Sus scrofa: one gene and its partners. The protein of the gene in region 1 interacts with the protein of each later gene in a biochemical or structural test. Links are inferred from orthologs where the notes say so. Each region holds a gene or a part of one and is shown in the gene's direction. Other genes may lie near its edges. The genes, in order: MARCH6, UBE2J2 and UBE2G2.

Region 1 (4,274 bases):
TTCAGTTCTCAAGGTCAACCCTTGAAATCAGTGGTTCTCCATTATTGTGTCAAGAACTTGAATTCCTTCCTGTCTTGGGTACCATGAGTGACATTGGTCAAATCAGTGACATTAGTCTTCAAGGGCTGCTCTCTTTCTGAAGGATTCTACTTCATTATTTTCATTCTCAGTTTCATTCTGATTGAGGAAGTTCAGAGGTGGGAGATTTTCCCAATTCCTTTCCTCACACGGATAGAAAAGAGATGGCTAGCATTCTTGCATCTATTTCTGCAATTTATCTGCATATTGTTTAAAATATATTTTCTTGGGATTAGAGACATCTTTAGTTCTACTTAGGTAATTCTAAGGTGGTGGCCTTTCTCATCAGTAATTTCTAAATAGTTCTAAATAATTTCTAAATAATTCTAAATAATTCTAAATAATTTCTAAATAATTCTTTGGTGAGGAAAAGTGGTGTACTGAAAGAACGTGCTCAGTCTTTCATAAGGCTGAAGCAATTTAGCCCTGGCCAGGTTAAGTGTCCATAACCCAGTATACCAAGTTCTGTCCCTATCTGAACAGATTTCCCCTAGAGAAGGGTGTTTGTTTCAACCTCCAACCTAAGCAGTTTATTGTAGTTCTTCCAGTCAAATGCAGAACTATGGTAATGATAGGGCCTGACTTTTTCATTTTACTTCCTTTTTGTCTTTTGTCTTTTTAGGGCTGCAGCCGTGGCATACGGAGATTCCCAGACTAGGGGTCCAATGGAAACTCTAGCTGCCGGCCTACGCCACAGCCAAAGGAAATCAGAGCCTCGACTGCAACCTACACCACAGCTCAAGGCAAAGCCAGATCTTAACCCACTCAGCCAGGCCAGGGATCGAATCCCCAACGTCATGGTTACTAGTTGGGTTCATTAACCACTGAGTGACGTCGGGAACTCTGACTTTTTAATTTTATTGGCATTCTAGTACTTCCTCAAAACATGCATCAGAACTGCCCGCGTGCAGAACAAAAATGCATATTCCTGGGCCAGCTCCAGACACGCGGCACCGGAATCTCCGGGCGCGATAGCGCAGAACTCGTATTTCACAAGTCCCAGGTAACAGTTCTTCAGCCCTGGGACCCGTCTTTGTCCTGCACCGCCGCCCGGCCTGCGCTGGGCTAGCCGCCTCGCTGTCAGGCGCTGGCTCACGCTGCTCACTTCCATCGTGTTGTGTCTTCTTTGTTGCTTCCCTCAGTGTTATTAGAGTTCAACTCCTACTAAGGTTTCAGCCTCGCTGCCCCGCGCAACCCTCAGGACAAGGTCCAGGAGGCCCAATGCCCACGACGGCGGCCACCAGCTGCTCGGGCCGGGCCGGGATGGCCCCCCACGGGTACCGCGCACTGAGCGTGCGCGCCTCCGCCGCGGCCGGAAATGACGGCACCTGTCGTTGGGGGCGCTCCGCCCCTTCCGCCTCCATGCCCCGCCCAGGCCTCGCCCCTCTGCTCTCCCCGACCCTCCCCCTCCCCTCTGTCGCCCGCTTTCTGTCAGCCTCTCTCCCTCTCCCTCTTCCCCTCTCTCCTTCCTCTAGCTTCCTCTCTCGCACCTGAGCACAAACACCTGCCCGGGCCCGGCTCCGCTCCCTCCTCCCTCCTCCCCCTCCCTTTTTCCCCGCCCCGGCCGGAAGGCTCCGGCCTCGGCCACAGGAGCTTCGCGGCTGCGTCACCGCCGCCCCCTCAGACAAGATGGACACCGCCGAGGAAGGTAAGTCGGCGGCGCCCGCGCCCTTTCTCCCGCGCCCGGGTTCGGGCTGGGCCCGCGCCCAGTCTGCGGCGCTCCAGGCGGGCCGCGGGGCCCGGGCGGCGCTGGGGGCACCTCGGCTCGGGGCGGAGGCGCGCGGTGACAGCGGGGGACCGGCGCCCGGGCCGTTTGCCCGCCGAGCAGCCCGGCGCGAGGGGCGGCGGGGACAGAAGGTGACCCCTCGGCGCCCCCCGCCGTTTCCCGCCCGCGCGCGTGGAGGGCAGGGCCCCTGCCCGGGCCGGGGGGCGTCGGGGCTGCGGTGGCCGCGGCCGGTGAGACTCCCCACCCCTCCGTCCCGCCAGCCCCGGGGGACGACGCTGTCGTCGCCGCTCAGAGTCTGGGGGCGTTTTCCACACCCTTCCCCCACTCGGTTTTGTCTTTCTTTATATCGTTTTGCCCGTAGCTCTGCGGGCCCGACCCTTTCACGGCAGAACTTCTTTGTTGACTCAAACTTAGCGAAAAATACCCCGCCAGGTGACGGCTGAGTGGAATCAACTGACCCCTATTTAAAAACCTTATCCTCTGCTTGCGAGTCCCGAATTATTTGTTTACTAAACGGGGACGAGGCAGGCCCAACGGGGTTATTCGCAGAAGGGGTGCTCTGTAGAATTCCTTTGTTTCAGTGTGATTTATTTTGTGCTTAATCCCTGACACCAATAAGCCGAGTTTTGTGCGTGTGTTGCTTGGTTGAGTGTGTGTGTGTTTTGGATGTGGCTGTTTTGGATCAAGCTGACTCTTGTAAACTGAATACATACGTGGATACATAACTGAACAGTTGTGACTATTGAAATGCATTTGCTTATCCGCTGACGGTAATTAGGTTGTTTTTTAAGCAGTTTTATCTTTTTAGAGTCTATCGAATAATTTTACTGAGTCCATAGAGGAAATTACTCTCCTGATGCTTGATGTGTAGGATGTCAGTGAAGATAAGATACCTTTCTGCTTCGGGTATATTATGTAGCTGTCTGATAAGCACCTTTCAACCGTATGGATTTTGGTGATTTTAAATGAGGATCTTTGAGGACTGTTGTGGCGTGCAATAATGAGTGACAGGAAGTTTGATACTGTATGTGTAATGAGTGGAGACAATTTATTATTTTTTAAAGAAGTCTTAGTAAGAACTTCAAACTGTAGCCGCATGTTATACTTGAGTTTACAAAGCATATTTACATGCCTTCACATTTGATCTTAGTAAGAGCCCCGTGGAGTAGCGCGGGGGGTATTATAGATGCGGAAGTTCAGGCTGGCTGGCTTCTTTCTTTCTTCAACAGTGACAAGCCAGATCCTTAACCGCTGAGCTTCCTGGGAACTCCCAAGCTTAGTTATTTAAATAACTTGTCTAAGCTTCACATGCTAGTTAAGAGACAGATATGAACCTAGGCCTTCTCATTACAAATAGTTTTCATTATGTCTTAGTTTTTTTATTATATACAGTGAGTGAAGTAATAACCACCGGCGACTCCTTTGGAAAAAAACAGTCAAGTGACACTGCTGAGGAGGTTATTAGGAATTATCTTCTTTTGATAGATGATTCTTGTGTGTAAATTTCCGTCTCCATAGATTTCACATACTTCTGGATTCAGATTTTAATGACTCAATTTAGTAAGGCTTGTGTTTATTTACCACTTGATAATGTACTGGCATGTTTTCCTCCCATTCTTTAAGCCTGTGCACTTAGTGTTTGCATACTAAATGTGTGGTGTGATAGTGGTAATTCAGGAATTGTAGAATCTGAAAGTTTATGTGGAATCATGATGAAAGAAATATATTTTTTTTGTCTTTGACCACAGCATATGGAAGTTCACAGGCCAGGGGTCAAAGTGGTGCAACAGTAGCAACCTAAGCTGCTGCAGTGACAACACAGGGTCCTTAACCCGCTGAGCCACAGGGAACTCCTGAAAGAAATATTTTCTATGTGCTTCTAGTGCACTGTTTTTTTCCTTGTAAAGTTATAATAAGGGTGAGGTATAAATGATATTTACTGTCTTGAATGCTGTTCTTGAAATAACTAAAATTTACTGAGGACTTAATATAGGGCATGTACTTCACTAAATACTTCATAGACATCTCATTTAATTCTCGTAACACTTTTAGGTACACAGCATTCCCTTTTTTACAGATGGAAGAAAGTAAGGGTTAGTATGATTAAGTAACTTGCCCAAAGTCATGCAGGTAACATGTCAAAGGTGAGATTCAGACTCAGTTCTGTCAGACTCCGTGGTTAAATTAGATATTTGTAAGTGGATACCCAGTATCCGATGTTGAGATAATTATGTTTTTGTTGCTTCCTTTGTAAGAAGAATCATATATGTAATTTTTTTGTTTTGTTTTGTCTTTTTAGGGCCGCATCCACAGCATGTGGAGGTTCCCAGGCTAAGGGTCAAATCAGAGTTGTAGCTGCCGGCCTACACCACAGCCGCAACAATGCAGGATGCGACCTACACCACAGCCCATGGCAACACCGGATCCTTAACCCACATAGGGAGGCCAGGGATCAAACCTGTGTCCTCAT
Region 2 (3,549 bases), on another chromosome or scaffold:
TTCTTGCTTTTCCAATTCATGTTATGAGCGGTTCTGGTATGTTACACAGATTGGGTTGGAGCTGTTCTGGGGCCTTTGAGAGAGGGGAGCCCTGTCTTCCATGCCCCCCCCCGCCCCTGGAGCATAGCTGGGATGTCCCAGGGTTCCCCATGCAGGCTCGTCCCTTCTCGTGACTGACGGCTGCTCCCTCGCTCCCTGTCCCCAACCTTCAGTGCTCTCCTGTCTCATCCTGTCCCTCCCATGCCATCCCATCTGCCATGTGTTGGGCCACCAGAGGGACCTTCCTGACAGAAGATCTGACTGGCTGGAAGACCAGGCCTGTAGTCTTTCTGGGGCACTGCTTGATGGCCTGGCCTGGCCTCGTGTCCCTGGCCAGGCTTGTCAGCCACTGTTCACCATGCTTTGGCTTCTGACGCAGTGACCCAGGGCTGGTCCCTGGACACAGTGCCCTGCCTTGGCCTCTGCTTGTGCACCTGTCGCTCCCTCTCCCTGGAAGGCGCTCCTTCCCCCTCTGCCTAGCGCGGTGTCCCCGTCTCTCCAGGATCTCCCCTCTCCAGGCTCAGAGAGAGGCTCTTTCTCTGTCCCCCGCCCACCTGTGGCCAGTGCTAAGCGTGCTGGAAGATGTTTAACCAGGGCCTTTTGGGGGCTGGTTTCTGTGGTGTCAGCGGCCCCCTGGCGGGCACCTTCCAGCGCAGTGCTGGAGAAACGTGCCTGTGACTGGCGGTCCGGGCTGGCTTCACACCTCTGCCCGGGACCCTTAGAAATGGGTGTCTTTCTCCCTGTGTCGGTTCCTTGAAGATGGGAGTGAGGCTGTTGGGTGTTTCCTAACCTCCGGGTCTGACTGCGTTGTGTCAGCGAAGGTCGTGGCAGGGCCGTGGGTGCAGAGGTGCCAGCAGGGGTGGGGGTGCTGAGCTGCGGGGTGGAGAGCAGCCCGGCCGCCTCCATCCCTGGTCAGCACGGGGGTTGGTTTTCTGCAGATGAGCAGCAGCAGTGGTAAGAGAGCGCCGACAACCGCCACCCAGCGACTGAAGCAAGACTATCTCCGAATTAAGAAAGACCCCGTGCCTTACATCTGTGCTGAGCCCCTACCCTCCAACATTCTGGAGTGGTGAGTTCCGTGTCCCTCTCGCCGCCCCTGGGTGCGGGCAAGGGGCTCGGCACCCTCGTCGGGTGGGAGTGGGCTGTGAGGCCCGTGGACACTCGGGTCATCTGCACCGTGGGCAGCTGCCGGGGGCGTGGCAGGGCTGCCCCTGCCCCTGCCCGCTGGGCTGGAGAGGGTCCTTGCCTGGGGAGGCTTGGGGGCCTGCAGATCTCCCAGCTGGAGAAGCTGCTGGCCGCTCCTCTGCTCTTTGCTTCTCGGGACCGTGCGGTGGGCTGTCCTGCCTTAGCGAGCTCACAGCAGAGGGTCCTGCTCCCGCAGCTCCTGTCTCCGGGCCCATCTCCGCCTTGTGACCATGCGGTTCGGAGCAGCTCTTGGGCCATGGTACAGCTGCCCTGTCGGGCTTTGCTGGTGATCTTGTGAGAAGCAGGACGGAGAGCTGAGCTGAGTGGGAGCACGTTCTCTTGGGTTGGAGGGTGTTTTATGTTTTCATCTTAATAAGTCCTTTGAGATCCGGAGAAGAGAGATGCAGCTGAGTAAAATCTAGGCCTCAACACCAGGCTGGACAGGGGGTCGGGGATTCTGGGTCTGCCTTCCTCAGCTTCCGGAGGGGCCGATGCGGCTCGAGGTTGTTGGAGAGGCATCAGTGCTGCAGCAGATGCAGCAGAGCCCCCCCCCCCAGCAGAAGCCGAGTGTGGCCCCTGGGGCACAGTTGGTAGATAGAGGGACAGGCTCTATGGCAGCCAAGGGTCCCCCTCTGTCAGTCGAGGGGACCCTCTCCTGCCTTGACTCAGGTCCCAGGTCACTGGCCAGGAGGACCCACTGCGGAGGTTCTGTAACGAGCATAGCGAAGAGACAGGAGGCGGCGCCGGGAAGAGGTGCAGGCAGAGTCCTAAAGACTGGCCCAGGCTTCCCTCCCATGCAGCAAGCTGCCACCACACAGGCCGTGCGGTCCGCCGAGGACGCCCTCCTGGACCCAGCACCAGGGCCTGCAGTTGCAGACTTCCGGCAGGAAAGCGGACTGCTTTTCAGCCTGAAGCACGTTGTTTGCAGACGCAGTTTAGGTGCAGTTGGGCTGGGGAGATGCCCCCCCACCCCACCCCAGTCCAGTTCTCAGCTGCCGGCCCAGGACAGCAGTGTTGGGCCTGCTGTGTGGGCTCTTCTGCTCCCAGCAGGGTCTGTTTCCTCAGCTGGGAGAAGAGAGCCTTTTCTGGAAGAGGCCCGTCCTCCAGGTGCTCTTTATGCTGCCACCTGGGCCCTTCCCCGTGGCCTCAGATCGAGTACAGGAGTCGGGAGCAGGAGCCACTGGAGGCCCTGCGTTCCTGATCTGCCTTCCAGGATGGCGGCCTTTTTTGAGTCGGGGGTGTGAGCCCGCAGGTCAGCCAGCAGGTTGTCAGAGTACCCGGTGGGAGGCGGCGTCTGGAGGGGTGGGTACCAGCGTGTGTGCAGTGGTATCTAGTCTGGTGTTTCTGTTGGGTCTACCGTCTCCTTTGTGCTTTTCTGTTTTTTTTGAAAACCTGTGAGCTAAACGCTTGTTAACGTAGAGCCGCAGCTGCCTGCCTTTGTGCAGAGGAACAGAGTCCCTGGATGGCTGCTCCAGGTCCGAGGCTCCCTCTGCGTGAGGACTTTGGCAACAGTCCCAAGCTGCCCTTGTCCCTCCTGCTGGCTCTTCCCCAGGCTCCAGCTGTTCCGGGTTTAGCTACTGTGACATTTGGACGCACTGAAAAATACCAATTTTTTTTTTTTTTTTTTTTTTTTTCTTTTCTCTTTTTAGGGCCGCACCTGCAGCATATGGAGGTTCCCAGGCTAGGGGTTGAATCGGAGCTGTAGCCGCCAGCCTACATCACAGCCACAGCAACGCCGGATCCTTCAACCACAGAGCGAGGCCAGGAATCGAACCTGCATCCTCCTGGATACTAGTCGGGTTCTTTAACCGCTGAGCCATGGAGGGAACTCTCACAGGTGCCAGCTTTGAAATTTATCTCAAGAATGAATTGTGGAGTTAAAAAGTGTTAAATTTTCAGTTGACATGGATGGTTTTAGAGGATTAGCTTTTGGCGTGTTGTTTGCGGATAGGAAAGTACTTTGTGGGGAACTTGGGAGACACAGCCTCTGATCCTGTTTCAGAGCAGCTGTTAGCGCACCAGCAGCACGAGAGACTGCAGAGCTTTGGTGCTGCCTTGCTGGTAGGGTTTATCCCTCAGTTTGCCTAATGAATGTCTGGTTTTGGTTGGGCCCTAAAATCCTGGCCTTGGGAGGTGCCATCTTGGCTCACCGGCAGTGAACCTGACTGGTAACCATGAGGACGCAAGTTTGATCCCTGGCCTCCCTCAGGGGGTAAGGATCCTGTGTTGCTGTGGCTGTGGTGTAGGCGGGCAGCTGCAGCTCTGATTCGACCCCCAGCCTGGGAACCTCGATATGCAGCGGGTGTGGCCCTAAAAATAAAAAAT
Region 3 (3,999 bases), on another chromosome or scaffold:
GGCAATTCCAGATCCAAGCTGTGTCTGCGACCTACGCCACAGCTCACGGCAATGCCGGACCTTTAGCCCACTGAGCAAGGCCAGGGATCGAACCTACAACCTTATGGTTCCTAGTGGGATTCGTTGGCGCTGCGCCACAATGGGAACTCCAAGACTTCACTTTTTAAAAAGGTTTACATATCCTTGCATGGCAAAGCTACCAAGCACTAAGAGTGCCGACTTTTTCTAAAGTAAGGGGGATTCTAAGAAGCATCGACAGATTGCCCAGAGACAGTGGGGCGACCAGTAGAACCTCCGCGAACACTACGAGAAAAGGACACCCTAGTGTAGTCACCTGGATGCACATTACCCAGCTGGGGAAGCCGGAGCCTCAGGGAGCCTGGGGCCGGGTGAGGGGCAGCTGGAGGGGGACGACCACCCTTGTCGGCCTCCTGAAGCAGTGGTCCGGGGACTGTCAACGGGGCCGTGGGCAAGTCTGGACGCGCTGCCCCCGGTCCTGCTGGTCAGCCGGCTGTTGTGGTGGAGGTCGGGGCTGTCGGGCTGCTGCTTTGCTCCCTCCTGTCTCCCAAAGCTCCTCTCTTGGCCAAGCTGAATCCAGAAACACCGACACGGAATAAGGCCACCCCAATCGCCAATCTTCTCACTTAAAACCTAAAACCGTGAGGGTAGCCACAGGGGCACCAAAGGTCTTCCATGGACCTTCTCGTTTTAACTGCATTTGGGCCTCAAAGTCACCTCCTCTGAATGACACAGGGGTGGGGCAGCGAGCGAGCCCCGATACGGTCCATGTGCCAGCGTGTGCATTGTAGCCCACCGGACTGGCGGTATCTTCTTTCTTCCCCTTCTCCTGGTACTTTCAGCAAGTAAGCCATGTGAACCCCACTCTTCCAGCGGGCCGGCCGCCGCCCGCCCGCGCCGTCCCCCACCCTCTGCCCTCCACCCTCCTGCCCCCTCCCCGCCGTCGGGACCGCCCTGAGGCCACGAGGACGGAGCAGGCAGTTCGCACACTCGGCCGGGCGCCGCTGCGCCGAAACCTTGTGGAGCCTCCCCTCCAGGTACTCAGAGCCAGGATTCGGGCTGCGGTCGAGGGCGGGCCCCGGAGTCCGCGCCCGCCCCGCGCCTCCCCGCCGCGCACGCGCCCCGCGCCTCCCCGCCGCGCGCGCGCCCCGCCCTTCCCGCCGCGCACGCGCCCCGCGCCCCGGAAGGGCTCCGGTGCCCCGGAAGCGGTCCCGGCGCTGGGTGGGAGGGACGAGCGCTGAGGAGGAGAGGCCGACGGCACAGCTGTTACCCTGACGATGGCGGGGACGGCCCTCAAGAGGCTGATGGCCGAGTACAAACGTGAGTTCGGGGCCCGCGCGCCCGGTCTCCCGGGACGGCCCTCTCCTCCGCCGCCCGGCCCGGCGCCCCCTTCCTTCCCGGGTCCCTGCACACCGCCCTCAGCTGCTCGCGGCGGCCCACGCCCCCCTCGACCCCCGCGCCCCGCTCCCCCGGGTCCCGGCGCCCCCCCTTCCCTGCTGCTCGCGGCGGCCCCGCGGCCGTGGTGTAGCGCGCGCTCCGCCCACCCCCGGGACGGGCTCGTCTGTGCGCCGTCGGGGCGGGTTTTGTCCGGGCACCGGCGGCCCCTGCGAACCTCGGACCTGCAGGATCGGCCGGCGCGGCGCCGCGCTGGACGGGAAGCCCGGATGGTTGCGCCCAGTCCGGGCTCGTTCGTTTCCGTCTCTGGCTCTTTGAGTGACTCTCTCTTTCCGGCCTCGTGAACGTGCGGTGGCCGGAGAGGGGACGCCCAAGTGGCCTATCGAGAAGTTAGCAAAGAAACGTTAAGAGAAAAGCGCAGTGTGATGAGTTTGAGGTGAAAAGTCAGATTTGAGTTTTCCGTCACAAAGGGAGCCGTTTTTGAGCAAGGCCACCTGCCATCCTTCCTGGGTAGTGTTGGGAAAACCCTCGTGCCTCCTTAGGCAGCACCTTTCCTCACCGTTGGGGAGCGCAGCGGGAGAAGCGAGAACCGGCAGCCTTGCGCAGACCCCCTTCTGCAGCAGAGGCTCCCGGGAGGAGTCGCGGGGAGAGGCCAGCCCTGGCTGCGCTCGGGTTTGAAAGTGTTCTGCTTGGCCTCACACAGGGCGGGAGCCCGCCGGCGGCTCAGACCTGCCTCTGCTTATTAATTCTCTGACCTTGGCCTCCGCCCTTGCCCTCACCCGTGCAGAGGAGTGCTTCCCAGGTACCTGCTGGGTGGCTGTCCCTGGTCTTAGCTGTGGCTGTTACCGTTACACCGAGGACACTTTCGGGAGAAACTGGAAAATGAGCGTCGACAATGGGTGCAGCAAAGCTAACAGTACTGTGCAGGTGTCTCGGTTTCCTAAGCCTTCCCAGAGGCGCTGTGCAGGGAGCATTGGTGTTTGGCCTGAGCAGACCGCAGTGTTGCAGAGGCGGGCCCTCCAAAATAAACGTGTGAGTGACGCTCACCATCTGGCCTCCTCTGAAGTTGGGGCTCCTGCCCCACTGTCGCCCCACCGTCTTTCCCTCTGGGTGGCGGCACCCACGGCCTTCCTCTTCCCGCCTGGTGTTTGACTGGGAGACGTGCTTGTGCCACACGTAATCTGTTGATTTGAGTCCAAGCCAGCCTCCGGCCCGGGGAACTGCAGCGCAGATGCCTCTGCTCCTGCGCCCACTGCTTCTCTGCGCCACACGGTCGCATCGTGTCACTCTGCCCGGAAGCCCTTGCAGGGACCCCGCAGATGCTCTGTGCTCTGGCCCGTCTGCCTCTGTGAGATCCCCAACTCCTCCACCCTGGCACATTTCTCCAGCCCCACGGACGGTGTTGCTGCCACTTCCTCGCCCTCTCTGAACCCCCAGACTTGGCCTGTCCTTCCCGTTTCTGTCATCCTTCCTGTCACTAACAGGCAAATGTAACTCTTTTTTTTTTTTTTTGTCTTTTTAGGGCTGCACCCGTGGCATATGGAGGTCTAATAGGAGCTGTAGCCGCCAGCCTACACCACAGCCTCAGCAACACAGAATCCGAGCCGCGCCTGCGACCTACACTGCAGCTCACAGCAAGGCCAGATCCTCAACTCACTGAGCGAGACCAGGGCTCGAACCCGCCACCTCATGGTTTCTAGTCGGATTCGTTAACCACTGAGCCACGACGGGAACTGCTGGCAGCTATAGCTCTGATTCAACCCCTAGCCTAGGAACTTCCATAGGCGCAGGTGCGGCCCTAAAAAGACAGAAACAAAAGGTGTACGTTGACACGCAGTCGTCAAGGGACCCTCTGCTCCTGTGACAGCAGCTTAAGAAGCAGGACCTGAGCAGCACTGGGCGGGTGCTGCCCCCGGGGCACCGCGGGACTGCTGTGCATCCTCTTCCCTTTCTCTGGAGGCCTGTCACGTCACGTCCTCCTCACAGCAGGCACGCTCTCTGCCTGTTTTACCCTGAGTGGAAGTGGGGTCCGCACCCGCCTCTGCAGATTGAACCTCGGCTCAGCGCTGTTCCCGCAAGTCCTTCACGCTGAGCACACGGCTCTTCTCACTGCCCAGAGCCGTCGCATTCTGTGAACGTTACTGCCGGGCCTGTAGCTTACGCTGCACGTCGGTTGCCGTGGGCATTTCTGGCGCCTGGGCCCAGCGTGGACCTGGCTGTGACGCAGCGCCGGTGCCCCCGGGTCAGCTCTCTGGAAGTGGCTCCCCGCGTGTCCCCGCATGGTGTTCCCGCACAGCGCTCCCTCGGGCTGCTCGCCGCCGCAGCAGGGTCAGTGCCCCGCCGGTGCGCTGTCATTCGGAGGGCCCGACGAGAGAGTCGAGGGGCCCGTCCCCTCGTGGTTGGAGGCAGTCCGTGGTTCTCCCTTGGTGGAAGGTCCGTCCGTGCCTTTGCGCCCATTTCTGCGGGGTGGTCTGCTCTTGTTGGGGCGTAGGAGTTCTCTGTCAGTTCCCTGCTCCTTTTCACTTCCTCGTCTTTGGTCGGTTATGTGCGTTACAAGCATTTCGTTCTTGTTTGTTTTTCATCTTA

What was found.
Region 2: the proteins of MARCH6 (region 1) and UBE2J2 form a complex in vitro, tested with the Homo sapiens proteins (2 studies listed by BioGRID, with this or other methods). The link is inferred for Sus scrofa from reciprocal best matches to the Homo sapiens genes MARCHF6 and UBE2J2.
Region 3: the proteins of MARCH6 (region 1) and UBE2G2 form a complex in vitro, tested with the Homo sapiens proteins (2 studies listed by BioGRID). The link is inferred for Sus scrofa from reciprocal best matches to the Homo sapiens genes MARCHF6 and UBE2G2.

What each region holds. Positions count from the first base shown.
Region 1 is NC_010458.4:72,125,066-72,129,339, reverse strand, and holds the start of MARCH6 (E3 ubiquitin-protein ligase MARCH6), read left to right. Parts: upstream 1-1,470; 5' UTR 1,471-1,707; coding exon 1,708-1,726; intron 1,727-4,274. UniProt on the Homo sapiens protein: Endoplasmic reticulum membrane-associated E3 ubiquitin ligase that plays a critical role in mitigating endoplasmic reticulum stress, the regulation of cholesterol and lipid homeostasis, and ferroptosis.
Region 2 is NC_010448.4:63,561,569-63,565,117, reverse strand, and holds part of UBE2J2 (ubiquitin-conjugating enzyme E2 J2), read left to right. Parts: intron 1-977; coding exon 978-1,108; intron 1,109-3,549. UniProt on the Homo sapiens protein: Catalyzes the covalent attachment of ubiquitin to other proteins. Seems to function in the selective degradation of misfolded membrane proteins from the endoplasmic reticulum (ERAD).
Region 3 is NC_010455.5:207,469,026-207,473,024, reverse strand, and holds the start of UBE2G2 (ubiquitin-conjugating enzyme E2 G2), read left to right. Parts: upstream 1-1,198; 5' UTR 1,199-1,295; coding exon 1,296-1,338; intron 1,339-3,999. UniProt on the Homo sapiens protein: Accepts ubiquitin from the E1 complex and catalyzes its covalent attachment to other proteins. In vitro catalyzes 'Lys-48'-linked polyubiquitination. Involved in endoplasmic reticulum-associated degradation (ERAD).